Canis lupus familiaris: one gene and its partners. The protein of the gene in region 2 interacts with the protein of the main gene of each other region in a pairwise test. Links are inferred from orthologs where the notes say so. Each region holds a gene or a part of one and is shown on either strand. Other genes may lie near its edges. The genes, in order: NUTM1, ZNF277 and GNGT1.

What was found.
Region 1: the proteins of ZNF277 (region 2) and NUTM1 interact in a two-hybrid assay, tested with the Homo sapiens proteins (2 studies listed by BioGRID). The two-hybrid records come from large-scale screens. The link is inferred for Canis lupus familiaris from reciprocal best matches to the Homo sapiens genes ZNF277 and NUTM1.
Region 3: the proteins of ZNF277 (region 2) and GNGT1 interact in a two-hybrid assay, tested with the Homo sapiens proteins (3 studies listed by BioGRID and IntAct). The two-hybrid records come from large-scale screens. The link is inferred for Canis lupus familiaris from reciprocal best matches to the Homo sapiens genes ZNF277 and GNGT1.

Annotation. Positions count from the first base shown.
Region 1 is NC_049251.1:1,027,114-1,031,854, reverse strand, and holds part of NUTM1 (NUT family member 1), read left to right. Parts: intron 1-535; coding exon 536-664; intron 665-1,709; coding exon 1,710-1,849; intron 1,850-2,344; coding exon 2,345-2,616; intron 2,617-2,885; coding exon 2,886-3,002; intron 3,003-3,354; coding exon 3,355-4,741. UniProt on the Homo sapiens protein: Plays a role in the regulation of proliferation. Regulates TERT expression by modulating SP1 binding to TERT promoter binding sites.
Region 2 is NC_049235.1:52,076,681-52,081,421, reverse strand, and holds part of ZNF277 (zinc finger protein 277), read right to left. Parts: intron 4,556-4,741; coding exon 4,513-4,555; intron 3,134-4,512; coding exon 2,959-3,133; intron 1,191-2,958; coding exon 1,004-1,190; 3' UTR 1-1,003. UniProt on the Homo sapiens protein: Probable transcription factor. Involved in modulation of cellular senescence; represses transcription of the tumor suppressor gene INK4A/ARF, perhaps acting via the Polycomb group (PcG) complex PRC1.
Region 3 is NC_049235.1:19,373,461-19,378,769, reverse strand, and holds the start of GNGT1 (guanine nucleotide-binding protein G(T) subunit gamma-T1), read right to left. Parts: upstream 3,486-5,309; 5' UTR 3,428-3,485; intron 3,342-3,427; 5' UTR 3,332-3,341; coding exon 3,236-3,331; intron 1-3,235. UniProt on the Homo sapiens protein: Guanine nucleotide-binding proteins (G proteins) are involved as a modulator or transducer in various transmembrane signaling systems.

The DNA of each region.
Region 1 (4,741 bases), on a different chromosome or scaffold from region 2:
ACTTAAACACCAATAAATAAAAACACCACACAGCCTTTCATCCTTTCATTAGACATTCATTTGGGTCAGGGAGTGCCTTTTTTTTTTTTTTTTTTTTTGAAAGTAAGAGCCTTTGGGCAGGGTTAAGCCTACTTTACCGTGAATCCACTGCTTTAATAAGTGCTTTAACGCTTATTATATTATTATATTATATTATTATAATAAGTGCTTTAACAAGTGCATTCTTCCTAATGTTTAGTCAAGAGTGGCACTGTGAGGACTGGGGTGCTTGATTTCAAACTTTGGGGGTGGCGTGGGCAGACTCAGTCATCTGATCTTGAGTGAGATTTGAAGATTTCAGCAGGAAGAAAGTCCAGTGTGGTCGATGGATGGATGGGAGGTTGGGGGTCTGGAGGTCCAACAAGCCGTGGAGCGTGACAAGGATCGGGAGGCAACTTAGATCTACTGAGGGACAGTGGGGTATGTTGAGGTGTTTGTGAGGACGGGTGGATTGGGGGTCCACTGTGGAACGTGACTGACCTGATGGGGGTTTTAGCCCTGTGCTTCGCTCCCTGGCCCGGCTGAAGCCTTCTATGACCCTGGAGGAGGGACTGCCAAGGGCTGTGCAGGAGTGGGAGCACACCAGCAACTTTGACCGGATGATCTTTTATGAGATGGCAGAAAAGTGAGTCTGAGCAACCCCCATTCTCCTGAGGGGTGCTGGGAGGCTGAGGGACAGGGGCATGGGTGATTATTAAAAGGGGTGCCAGGAGGACTGGTGTAGACTAAGGTGGGGCCTCCTGGATTTTCACGGCTTCCACCACCTTGACCCTCGGGTTTTCCTGTCCTCCCTTGGGAGCTCCCCCTCCTTCAGATCCTGAATCATACAGGTCCTTGATACTGAAGCTCCAAGAATGGGGTTGGGGTCTAATTGGTGTAAAAATGCCTTGCCAAAGGGACCTACCCATGGGGAGGTGAGCCCTCCGAGGCAGGTTCTCTCCTGTCTCACTGACCAGCTAGCTAGTGGCTGCTGATGCAGACCTTGAGACCACTCCTCCTCTGGAAAAACTGCCACAGAAATCCCCATTATCCCAGGGAGAGCCTGGTGCGTGTAGAGCTTGGTCAGGCCAAGGTCCTGGATGCCCGCAGTGGTCTTCTGGTTCTCCATGATGGTCTCCTTGGTTAAAGAAGCAATTCTGAGGAAAGTTAACCCTTTCTTCTGAAGCTTGGTTTCCATTTCTTCCCTTGTAGACCTCTTAGAATTAGTGTTCCTGGCCCCCAGGCCCGGCCTCAGGACTTGGGTCTCAGCACTGCCTCCTGGTGGGAAATGCCTTGAATTGCAGCCCCCCGGGCATTGCTTTAGGATTTCAGGCATCCTTTGTGGCTGTAGGTGGAGGCAAACGGAGCCTAGCCGCCTAGCCGGGCTGGCAGTAGGGACCCTGTTGGGCCTTGGCCGGAGGCTATATTAAGGCTGTATTAATTGCCGCTGGATACACTCCATGATGCTGGGTGAGATCAGGGATGACATAGAAGTGAAAGCCGTGGCTGTGTCCTGGAGAAGCTTGACAAGCTCTAGACCGTTCATTTATCTCAACAAGTTTCCTAAGTGGTGGCTGCTGGTCAGGGATGTTGTGAGGTTTGCCCAGAATGGTTATTGGGGTCTCTGTGAGCAGCACCCTCCCGGTGTCTGGCCTCCTCGGCACTGTCCAGGCCTTCCTCACCCTCTGCAGGTTCCTGGAGTTTGAGGCTGAGGAGGAGATGCAGATTCAGAACACGCAGCTGACAAGTGGGCCCCAGGGCCTGCCTCCTGCAGCCCCTCTGAAACTCGACCCTCCGGGGCTTGTGGCCCCTGAGCTTAGCCAGCAGCCAGGTGAGGCTCCCCACCTCCAACAAGGGCCATGGACCAAAGGCTCAGAGTGGGGTGTGCACAGAGCAGGCGTGCATTAGGGGAGGCGGCGCCCTTCTGCTCTGAGGTTCCACACAGGACACACGTGCACAGCAGGCTGGGTCTCTGGGTCCCTTCGTCCCAAACTTTTTTTTTTTTTCTTTTCCTTCGTCCCAAACTTTGACCTTGGCCCAGTGAACCCATGGCTCTCTAAGTGAGACGTACATGACTGCATAATAGCTCATCTGCCTGGGAAGTGGGGGCTGGGTCAGAGGACGTCTTGGAATCTCAGGGCTTTCCAGATGCCTCAAACAGTGCTTCTCTGAGAGCCTCTGGTCCTCTCCCGGGCCGGTCCTGCTTCAGGCCGGGCCTAGCCCATGACCATCACGGCGAACCCGGATGGCTGCCCCAACTGACCCAGGGTGGGAGGCAGAGGCCATGGCCCCTCTGCCTCTCCCCATCCCTCTCCCACCCCTCTAGTGTACATTCCCAAAAAGGTGGCTCCCAGGGCACGCGCCCCCCGCCGGCGGCAGCGCAAACCCCAGAGGCCTGTGGTCCCTGAGGCGCCCAAGGAGGTCCCGCTGGAGGCTGTGAGGGAGTACACTGACATCGTGGAAGGGCTGCTGGGGGCGTCAGACTGGAAACAGGACGACGAAGAAGAGCAGCAGCAGGACGAGGAAAGGATGTGTCCCGACCCAGGCCTTCTCAGCTACATCGACGAGCTTTGTTCTCAGGAGGTCTTTGTCTCCAAGGTGAACTGAGTCTGCAGTCTGGTTTCTGGTGGAGCCTGGGGTGGAAACCAGGGAGCTGAAGACCCCGGGTTTGGCCTGAGGCAGTGAGGAACTAGGCAGTCTTCCTGCTGAGAGGTGGCCGTGACCGTGTGCCACTGGCAGTGGTCAGGGTTAATGACAGCCCTGGGTGGGGTGGTGGTGGGGTCAGGGACACGTGGCTCCTCTTGAGCCTCTCGCTTCGCAGGTTGCTTCCCATCAGGACTCCCATTATTTTTCCTGTGTTTCCCCAGGTGGAGGCCGTCATTCATCCTCGATTCCTGGCCGACCTGCTGTCCCCAGAGCAGCAGAGGGACCCGTTGGCCTTAATGGAGGAGCTGGAGCAGGAAGAAGGACTCAGCCTTGCCCAGGTACACCTGGGAGGTAGAAGTGTCACAGTAGGAAGCTTGTGTGACTATGTCTAGCCCTACTCTGTCCTGGATGGTGGAACTCCTGGAGATGGACGGCCCCGGGGTTGGGGTTCAGGTTCAGGCCAAGCAGGCAAGACATTGTAGACACTCAGGGATGGGGAGCAGGTGTGCAGGATCAGAGCATGGGGATGCAGCCCATAGGCGCAACAGGAGCGGTGGCATCTGGTTTTAGTGCTGGGACCTGTACCACTTGCTGGCATCCCTGCCCCACACAGTACTGTCTCCTCACTGCCCCTAAGAGAGCCCTTCTCCCGGCCGCCTGGGGGACCATGTCTCCCTGATCTCCTTCTAGCTGGTCCAGAAGAGGCTCCTGGCCTTGGAGGAGGAGGATGCGGAGGCCCCTCCTAGTTGCAGTGGAGCTCCGTCGGACTCTAGTCACTCTGGTTCGGACGAGGATGAAGATGGGGGTGGGCGGCTTCGGCCCTCCCCTGGGCCTCGGGTTGCTGGGGGTGCTGTTCACTTGGGAAAGGCTGCTTCTCCAGGGGAGCGGGCTGTCGATGGCCTACAGGAGGTGCAGAGAGATGGGAATGCCGTGCCACCCCCCAGCAGCTGGGACCTGCAGCTGGACCTTCCAGCTCCACAGGGGCCTCGAGGGTCCAGAAACATGGAGAAGAGAGGGGCCAGGAAGGTGACAAATCAGATGTCCCCACATGGGGTTGACCCTCTAGGAGGTGTCATGTCACTGGGGCAGCCCCTGGTGGTTGACAGAATTGCCGAGACTCTGCCCCTTTGTTGGCAGGGAAGCCCCCCACCTGACCTGGGTTCCGGTTTGGGCGTGCGACTTGTAGAGCTGGCTCCTCTGCAAGGACAAGGGTCAGAAGAGCAGGTCCTGGGGCTGCAGACAGGACAGGGGCTAGGGGGGCCTGCAGTGCTTCCTCAAGAGATGGAGCCGTGTGCAGTGCCCCAGAAAGGCTCTTCAGGAGCCATGTGGGGGGATGACAGAGGTCCTCCGGGGGTTTCCAGTTACAATGAGAACCCCTCCCCCAGAGCGGCTGGTGACAGGGATGGGGATGTAGTCTCCCTCAGTCGGGGACTTTGGCTGAGCAGTGAGCTGGCCGCCGTGGGCTTGGAGTTGCCCTTACAAATGGAGGAGGTCATAGAGAACTTCCACAGCAGGGAGAGTGTCACCGAGCATCAGGGAGGCTGCCGGGCAGGGGGCTCCAGCAGCAGCAGTTCCCAGGGTCCTGGAGAAACCGTGGCACCTGGAGACGAGGGGGGCAGTGCAGTTTCCTGCGGAGGCACAACTGGCACGTCTGCCCTGCAGAAGAGAAACGACTGCAGCCTGCCGGGCCCCCTGGGGGCCAGCAGCCCATCCTTGAGGCCTAACGTAAACTCAGAACAGGGCCCTGAGGCTGCCGGGGATCCCAGTGGTCTGTGGGTGGAAGGGTGCCCCCCTTTGCCGGAAGGTAGGCTCAGTGCCCCCACCCTGGGACCTCCCAGAGAAACCCTGCAGCCCGCGTGTCCCGGCAACGTCCTGGTGCTGGGGGCCCAGGGTGTCCCCTCCTTTCCCCAGGCCGCCCTGGGGGCGGGGAGCGGAGGCCGGTCCCGGTCTCCTGTGTTGGAAACCACAGAACAACACGTCCACCTACTGGGTATTGGAGATGTCTGCGGCCTCCAGCTCGGGGGCCCTGGAGGCCGTGAGGACACCAGCCCCCCGAAGTTTACTTCCTCTGCCGCCC
Region 2 (4,741 bases):
TATTTCAGTCTTTGTTTTTCATGACCTGGACTTTTAAAGAATAAAGGCTGATTATTTTGTAGACTGTCCCTCAACTTGGGTTTGACTACTATCTCTTTGTTATATTTACATTATGCATTTTTTGAAGAATTCCTCAAGCATGATGCTTTCTCTTCCTCAGTGCATCTAATCAGGAAACATACAATATTTTTCCTATAACCGATATTACTCAAAAGGACATTTTTGAGACAACTAGGGAAAACTGAAAACATAAGATATTAAGAAGTTATTGTTAATTTTGTTAGATGTCATAATGGTATGTGTTTGTTTTTTAAAAATGGCATTGATCTGTTAGTGATATATGCATTGCAGAAGACAAGAGGCTTGATGTCCAGTTATAGGGAGTTTGGTTACATTAGGCAGAAAGCAGTAATAATAATAGAGTCAGATCTTGACTTTTCTGAAATAGTTTCCAATTTGTACATTCTCCAGGTCTTTGACCATTTTTCCTTTCTTTTGGTCACTACTTCTACAGTTTACACAAATAGTCAAATTTTGTGACTTGCTGGATGAAGAAAGAGTGTGGGAGAGGAAATTGAAATTACTGGCTGAAATTAACTTTATAAATAATTTGAACATTTCATTTCTTTGTGATTTGTATGTCTTCCTTATTTAAAAACTTTTTTTGGGGGGGATAATCTCGTCATCCAACATGGGGCTCAAGCTCATACCTGGAGATTGAGAGTCACATGCTCAACCACTTGAGCCAGCCAGGTACCCTGCAGGTCCTTCTTATTACAGATAATCAATCAAGTATAATGAAATGAGATCACTTATAATGATCATATAGTAGAGTTTTACAGCCAAAAATACAAAAAGTCCTCAGGTTATTTTTTGAAAAGTATTTTTAAAAAAATTTGTTTCACCAAGGACTAACCCTTTGCTGATGTTCAAATTTAAACTATTTTTCTGAGTTTGTCTCATAAGAGAAAAACATGAAAAGTTGCTTCTGTGGTATTTTCTTCTAGTTTTTCAAGCCCTCATGTAGTAGCAACTGGTTCAAAATACTGCTTTGTTTCAAAGCATGCAGTTTAGATGTATCTTCACTGATGATGGTAATATTTCCATTTTGTTCCTGAGCCGTCAGGTCACTTTCACTATCAGACAGTGTACACAGTAGAGTGTCGTTTTCATAGGTTGGAAAATAATACCTGAAAACAACCACAGATACAGTGAATAATCAAACTATAAAATATCCAGAAAAGTTTCTAGCAGTTGAACATACACATTAATTCTGCTAAGTTTCCTTGCCCACAATTCCAACAGCATTTTGCGAAGGTGGTATGGGTGTCAACTTTGGAATTACTTTTACTTTAACCTTTACTGGCTGACGTCAATCTCACTAGCATCCTTGCTAGCTGCCCATTCAGCCTATACTTGATGTACCCATAAAACTCACAATCTGGGAATGCCTGGGTGGCTCAGTGGTTGAGCCTTTGGCTCAGGGCGTGATCCTCGAGTCCCAGGATTGAGTCCCACCTCAGGCTCCCTCCAAGGAGCCTGCTTCTCCCTCTGCCTGTGTCTCTGCCTCTCTCTCTCTCTCTCTGTGTCTCTCATGAATAAATAAAAATCTTTAAAAAATTTGTTTAAGTACTATTATAGATTAGGCTCGATGCCCTTTGAAGAACACATCCCCACTGTAGGATTTCTTTTTCCTGATAAAACACAGAGTGTATCATACTTTTTATAGGCTATATTTATTGTTCCAATATAGCTACAAAGTAATTTTTGTTATTTCTGTGTAGGTACGGATCAGTGGACCAACTGCCTAACATTTATAAAATGCTAAGATGCAAAATATATACCAAAAGCTCTAATAGTTGTGCTTTGACATAGTAATTTTATTTCTAGGAGTTTATTTAAATGAAAAATTGGGTAAGTGTGCAATAAGATAGGCATAGGGATACTCATTGTATTACTATTCATAAGAGTAAAATGCAAGAAACAAACCTCAGTATCTAGCAAATTAGGGTATATCTACTGAATGGCATATTTGGCAATCATTAAAAATAATGCAACTGATATGTATTGATATAGAAAAATGCTTACAATATTGTTAATAAACTATAATGAAAAAAATCTATACCTCATCTTTATCTTCATGCCACAATATCTGAGAGTTAGTGACACATATAAAAGGGGGATTCCTTTATTTATTTATTTATTTATTTATTTATTTATTTATTTTTTATTTTTTTATTTTTTAAATTTTTATTTATTTATGATAGTCACACAGAGAGAGAGAGGCAGAGACACAGGCAGAGGGAGAAGCAGGCTCCATGCACCGGGAGCCCGACATGGGGTTCGATCCTGGGTCTCCAGGATCGTGCCCTGGGCCAAAGGCAGGCGCCAAACCGCTGCGCCACCCAGGGATCCCCCTTTTTTTATTTAAAGATTTTATTTATTTATTCATGAGAGACAGAGAGAGAGAGAGGCAGAGACACAGGCAGAGGGAGAAGCAGGCTCCATGCAGGGAGCCCGATGTGGGACTCGATCCTGGGTCTCCAGGATCACACCCTGGGCTGAAGGTGGCGCTAAACCGCTGGGCTACCCAGGGATCCCAAAAGGGGGATTCCTTTAAAAATAAGGTTTTTGGGATCCCTGGGTGGCTCAGTGGTTTAGCACCTGCCTTTGGCCCAGGGCGCAATCCTGGAGTCCCGGGATTGAGTCCCACATCGGGGTCCCTGCATGGAGCCTGCTTCTCCCTGTGCCTGCGTCTCTGCCTTTCTCTCTCTCTCTCTCTCTCTCTCTCATGAATAAATAAGTAAAATCTTAAAAAAAAAAAGTTTTCTAAGATTTTTGCTTTTTAAAAAAAAATAAACACATATTTCTCTTTTATTTAAGTTTGGAGAAATTGAATAAAGGAACAAGTAAGGGATATAGAGTAAAGAAGTATATGTGTGGTTGAGTAGCACTCACTCTGGTTGATCCCAGGTCTTTCTTTCAGGAAGCAGTGATGTATGTTTAGCTTCTTCCATATGAGTCCTTAACTCTGCTTTGGATTTGAATTTCACATGGCAGCCATAACATCTACATTGGTGAATTTGTCTCCGAATGAAATTGACCAGTTTCACTTGCTGGTAGAAATTTAATCCTGAAAACAACAGTTTATACAATCTTTAGAATCAGTCAGACTCATTTTTGCACTGTTATGATTTTTTAAAGGAGCCACTTCTCTTTCTCTTTTAAAAAAGATTTTATTGGGATCCCTGGGTGGCGCAGCGGTTTGGCGCCTTGCCTTTGGCCCAGGGCGCGATCCTGGAGACCCGGGATCGAATCCCACGACGGGCTCCCAGTGCATGGAGCCTGCTTCCCCCTCTGCCTGTGTCTCTGCCCCTCTCTCTCTCTCTCTGTGACTATCATAAATAAAAAGAAAAAAAAAAGATTTTATTTATTTGAAAGAGGGGGGAAAGAGAAAAGAGAGAGAGAGAGAGAGAGACATGAGCAGGGAGAGGGCAGAAGATGGACAAGCAGAGTCTACACTGAGTGTGGAGCCCAAGGCAGGGCTCAATCCCAGGACGCTGAAATCATGATCTGAGCCAAAGGCAGACAATTAGCCAATTGAACCACCCAAGTGCCTGAGTCACTTCTCTTTATTAACCAACCTGAAGAGGCAGTCTGATTACAAAGCATAATAATAGATACCAAACTGTAACAGCCAATACTTTTATAGGGCTTATGTGCTAGGCACTGTTCTAATCAGTTTCCATGTATTAATACGTTTAGCTTTTGCAGAACATAGGTAGTATTATCATAGCCATGTATTAGGAAACTGCCCAAGGTTGAATAGCCAGTGGGTGGGTAGAACCAGCATTTGACGTACATACATGTCTGTAAGAAGAGCAAAGAAAAGTAACACATACCAGAGTCTAGGAAAGCAGTCAGTGAACTGAGGAATGGGAAGTAGGCTTTCTACTGTCTTTGATCCATTAGCGAGTCAGTAATTTACATCTTCATGCCCCTAATCTTTCCATCATAGGGATACTGAGAATGATGCACCTGGGTACATCTGTGATAAATAAATAATCCAGCTACACTGCCAAGCAGTACAGTAGGTGTTTTATATACATTATCTACTCCCTGTCACATTCTGTTGACCTGAGGCCTTATGTCACACAGCCAGTAAGTGCTGGAGCTGGAATATGAACTCTAGTCTGACATCAAAATCCATGGTCTTTCCATTAGCCCCTTCCACCTTATTTATGATGGATACTAACCGATAGCTTGTATTTTATTTGAAGCATTCATATATGTAGGAAAGAAGAAAGACCATATGAAATAAAAAACCGTACTTGAATATTACAGTTCAAAATGGTTGTGAATCACCGCTTCAGGCGGTCCCATTGAGACCATCTGTGGAGAGACACATTTTGGCTGTGCACCCTCCCATCACGACACCGAACACAGGCATCGCTTACAGGATGGTGTATAAAAATGCCACATCATGGAAAACAACTTCTGAATCAAACTTACCAAGTTCTGACTTTATTTTGAGGAGATCAAACTCGTGAGCATCCTAAAAAAAGGAATGAATATCTGTGAGCATATAAATTATTTAATCTTTCAGGCTGAAGTTATAAACAGACGGCTTATTCATAGGAGTTTGAACACTGTTGAAACTCGTCTCAGTTCATCATGTTCTGCTTTTGAAGTATTCGAAATATAACTACTTCCCCCCACCACATCCAACTACTTTTTAAAG
Region 3 (5,309 bases), about 33 Mb from region 2:
TATATACACATAAGAGCAAATAATTCATTTCCTTTAACTTTCAACTTTTCACTTAACTTACAATTCATGACATTGACGTGAAACTAATTCACTTCTGGCAGTCCACTAGGTGACCATTCCATAAGCTATCTAACTGATTTATTGTTTTTTTTTTTAAATAAAATATTTATGCGATTTTTGTATGCAAATTTCCAGGAACATTAAACATAAGATTATAACTCTGCAAATTCATTATCGACATATTAGGAAACGTCATTTCTAACTGGAGCAAGGCATTGGTTGGGTGGCTTCTTCATATGATGATACTTGTAGTTTATACACAATTCTGAAATATGCAGTAATTTAGATTCACATTTTTTCCTTCTCAAAATTCAAAATTAAGATTTAGGTTTGCTTTTATCCCACTTCTCCAAACACCAACTGCTTTGGCCCCAACCAGGTGTCAGGAATAGAGGCTTAATTGCTGTCCTAATTCTACAGTCAGTGAGGGGTGGTTTTGACAATGTCTACCTAGGATCCGAGGCTATACGGAGCAATAAATTACCTAAAATCCTATGTGAGTGTGTGTTCAAAAATTACTTCAGTGAGGCTTACTATAAGTATTTATAGTTTAATATAGGATTACATGGCATGGTGGAAAGCATGGACACTGGATTCAGGGCATCCCCGGTTTGAATGTTGGATCGGCTGTTTATCATCATTTATTAAGAGAGTTCCTCTACAATTTAGTCACTTTGTCTATGAAAAAGGAAGAACAACACTGGTTGCATTAAGTGCCTATCATACAACAAATGCTAGATCAAATGGTAGCTATTTTTGGCTATTACTACAAAGATTATCTTTAGTCTTTGCCTATTGCATTGACATGCAGTCATTGTAAGTCTGTCAGCTTTAAAAACTGTATGCAATGAGATGTGTTATTCTGACAGTACTAGTTCCTTGATAGCAAAATAGGTTGAGGCATAGTATGAACTATGATATGTATATATATAAATATATATATATTTAAATATATATATTATAATTAAAATATATATAATAATTAAAAAGTAATAATAATAGTGGAAAGTACTTGCTACGTCCTAAGTATTGTTCTCTGAGCTTTGTATATATTATTCCATTTATTCCTCCCAATTGCTCTCTGACTTAGATGTTGTTACTATTCCCATTTTGCAGAATATATCTCAGGTGAGTGTTCCACAGGGAGAAAGCTATGAAGTAGAATCTGAACCAGGGATACGGTTCCAGTGTCTACCTGGACCATACTATAAGGACGCTATGCCATCCTGCATCAGAACTATAAGTTCAGGACCTAAAATGTGTGTGTGTGTGTGTGTGTGTGTGTGTGTGTGTGTAGTTTTGGCAGTCTGATATTAAGTTAGTTTGACTTCCAAATGCAAGAAGATTTTTGAGTAGCAGGGAAAAGGACCCCCAAACTGATAGGTGGTGATGTATGTGATGTTTACACAAAATAAAAATTCCCAGATAAGCTTGCCACAAATGAATAATAAACATGAATATAATCAAATTGCCTTCAAAACAACAATCCTGAGTAAATAAATAATGAAACAGCATTTGGATTTTTCAAGTCAGGAAGAAAAAATAACTTTCCTTTATTTATCCCAAAAGTTTATTTTTCCCAAATTATAAAGATAAAGATTTTAACTGTTTTGTTATGCATTCCAAGCTTCCGGTGCTGTGTATATATTTAATTTTATTTTTACATCAAAATGTTTTGCCTGTATGGAAAGAGCAACAGGGAAGTTTGAGACAATCATAAATAGAAAAGAAGCCAAAATTCCAATTATTATTGGGAGTAAGAGTCTTGAGCAAAGTATGAAGATAATACAAATTCCTTTTTTTCCGCTTTGGCTTAATAAAATGATTTTTTGAAAAAATATGAGATACTCTTATCACTCGTGGAGGAGTTTTTGTTCTACTTACTTTCCTAAAATGAAGAGATCTAAAATACGTATCTATATTTTCCAAGCTTCAGTCACTGTTTGTTTGGAGGAAGCCTATTCCTTTGCCATTTCTCTCCTTTTAATGGCAGAGAACTCTTGGTAACCATTTCCAAGATCTGTTAGATGTTTTTAGGAGGAATGAAGGAGTTCTTGTGCTTGAACTCATTTTTATTTGCAAAGAAGGAATAGAATGTACTCATTCAGACTAGCCATGACAGTGCTGGAGGAGATGAGGTCTTGGCTAAAAGTATTTAAACATCAAAGTATTGCATTAAATAAAGAGAAGCTTATCAGTTTAGAAAAGTAAAAACAAAATGCCTATATGCATTGCTTCATTTTACTGCTTAAAATACAGTCTTGGTGTCATTCTTCATTTCCTTTTTCTTTCTCTCTCTCTCTCTTTTAAGACAACTCCACAAAACCAGAAAAACATTTTTAGTTTAGTGGTCATTAAAAAAACAAAAAACCAAAAAACAAAACAAAAAAAACAGGCTAAGGGCTGGATTTGGCCCATGGAAAATAATTTGCCAAACTTCTAGAGTCTAAGTCAAGAGATAATTATGATCATTAATTTTCTTAATACCTGATGAATTTTTTACCTGAACCACTCATTTTTAACTACATTGAGCCTCTCCAGTGAATGGCATGGGGGAGGACAAACCATTTTCCCTCTACCCTTTTAGGCTCTTGGTTGAGACACTGCTGTTAGTAAAAAAGGCAGATTAATAGGAGAAAAAACACATAGAAATTTAATAGCATGTATACCTCTTGTGTACATAGGAGAGACCCAAGAAAACAAAGTAACTCTCTGAAATGGCCTAAGACACCCCCTTAAACATCATCTCCAGCTGAAGACAAAAGATATTGGGAACTTGGGTGGGGGAAAGCCAATTATGGGAGGTTTTCAGGAAAAGTAGTCAGTAAAATTCCACTTACATCAACCATATTTAAGTCTTAGCTTTCTCTAATTATAAGAGGTTCTAAAGATTTAGAGTCATTCTTCTCTTCCTGGTATAGAGAGGGAGATACCCTTATAAATAGAGACTTGTCTTATAATTGTAAATATCTCTTACAGAAGGGCAACTTTTACTTAATTTCCAGATATTCTCTAATATTTGCTGTTTCTTAAAAATAATCAGCCTAAAATAATACTTATGTCAAGGAGGTATATGTTGGGGTGGCAAATTCTGCTCCCCTGCAACAGTTTCTGACCTGGTAGTTCTACCATATCTATAGTTTAAAATAAAATTCAAAAGAGAGCAGCAGTTTACCAGCATTCTTTCCAGGGTCACTTCTTTCTTGAGCTGGTCAACTTCCATCTTCAATTTGTCCTTTTCTGTCAAGTCTTCAATATTAATCACTGGCATCTTTTGCCTGCTGAAAAAATAGACAATTCATATACCCAAATTGCTGGGCATGCTTCAGTCAATATTAGCCAACCCTTCCCTCAGCACTTAACTTACTAAGTGAACTGTTTCTTTGCTTTAGCTTTCTATGATAACTGATTTCTTATGAATGGTCTCTGAACAATTCTAGCACTGCACACTAGCCTTGCAACTTTAAAGCTCTTTATAATCTTCACTAATATGATTAAACCAAGCATTTGACTCTAAACACCTGCTAGTAGGTTTGTGGGGAGAGGTCAGTTTAGTCAGTATATAATCTTAAACATCCAAAGCCTCTCTTCCTTGCTTTTTCTTTTTTTTTTTTTTGCATAGTGTAAAAGTTTGGGTTTCTGACCCTCATCTCCAGCACCAAACCCCTCCATCATATGATTTATGCCATTTAAGTTAGTTTGAGGTCATTTTGAGGACTGGCCATTAATCCCCTAAATCGCTAAAGTATTTAATCTGGTATTAACAGAGAACTATACAAAAACTGTCATTGTAAGTTCTCTATAAATAATAGATTTTATGAAATATGAACCAATAGAGTGGAGATATAGCAAACAACCTCACTAATCAGAAATAAACTAGCATATTTACTTAGGATGTGTCTCTAAACAATACCTGGAAGTTGTGTATAACTGTCACAATGCATTGGAAAGCAATGATGAGCAAATGTAGCAGGTTAAATGTGACACAGTGGGTCTGGTCTACTGATGTACATTGTAAAAGAAAGATTTGCACTCTCAGCAATCTCTTCTTCTTAATTAGATCAATGGGGGAAGATGGTTCAGTAGCTGGTGGTACCCACATGCAATTGTCTGGAAAATATTTCATTGTAGCCAAGTGGCATCACACATATAATCTCTCCTTTTTTGGTCTTCTGTTTTTCTCCTTTGTCTCCCCAGTCCAATTTTTATAATGACATATTTTTATGAAAGTAGACATATTTAAGTCACATGCTATTTCAGCAAACAACATTACACATTTACCTAAAAATACTCTGCTAATAACTTATCAGAAATTAATGTATTTCCTTGTATTTACATCATGTTATCATTTCCAAAACCTTTGAGGAAATATTATTTCCCTTCTCAATCTTATAATGGACTGATATTCTTGGGGAAATATACATTTTAGTATATATTGTAGTATTGGAGAGCCCATGTGCAGGTGTATCCTTCCTTTCCTTCTCACTGCCTTCAGACCATCTGTAACCATTCACAAGCATATCTACCTTTGCTGATCATTTTTAGTTGTTGACATTATCCTTTGCACAATTTTTTCTCCATCTCAGAAAACTAATTCCACTTGGCAAAGGCTCTGACACTTCAGTGTGTATAAGAATCATGTTAGGAACTTATTAAAATATAAGCACAATCTAAACGTTTTGATCTGGAATAAGGCTTAGAATTTCACTTCTCTGTTTTAGAGACTCCCTACCATGTTATTGCTAATAAAATGATCACTCATTTGCTCTTGCTAGGTGTGTGGCCCTGATGAAGTTACTTCACTTCTCAGTTTACTAGGAAATAGGAGCAATATGATTACCTACATTGTAGATTTCTTGAGAGGAATAAAGATTATGCAATGGCATGTAGCACAGAACAAGTGTTCAGTATATGTTAGCTGGGTTACTCACTTATTCTGTACCTTTAGACTTTCAAACTGTGCTGCCTTACATGTCACTTGCTGAAAAGCTTTATAAGCTTTATAAGTGCTCTTAAGGGATACCGTTTGGGCATGATTTGGCTCCCTTAATATCATGCATAACAGATACTGCAGATCCCTGTCTAGATCCCCCTTTCCAGGGTGGGGTGTTCATTTTCCCAGCAGCTACATGTATTGGCTTCCAGGGACAAACTTTCTGTATAGATTTGTTCTTAGCTGATGGGAACCACTTCAACTGGTAATGTCTGGGAGGCTATGCTTTTAGGTGGTCCCTGTGGGTGACCTGTAT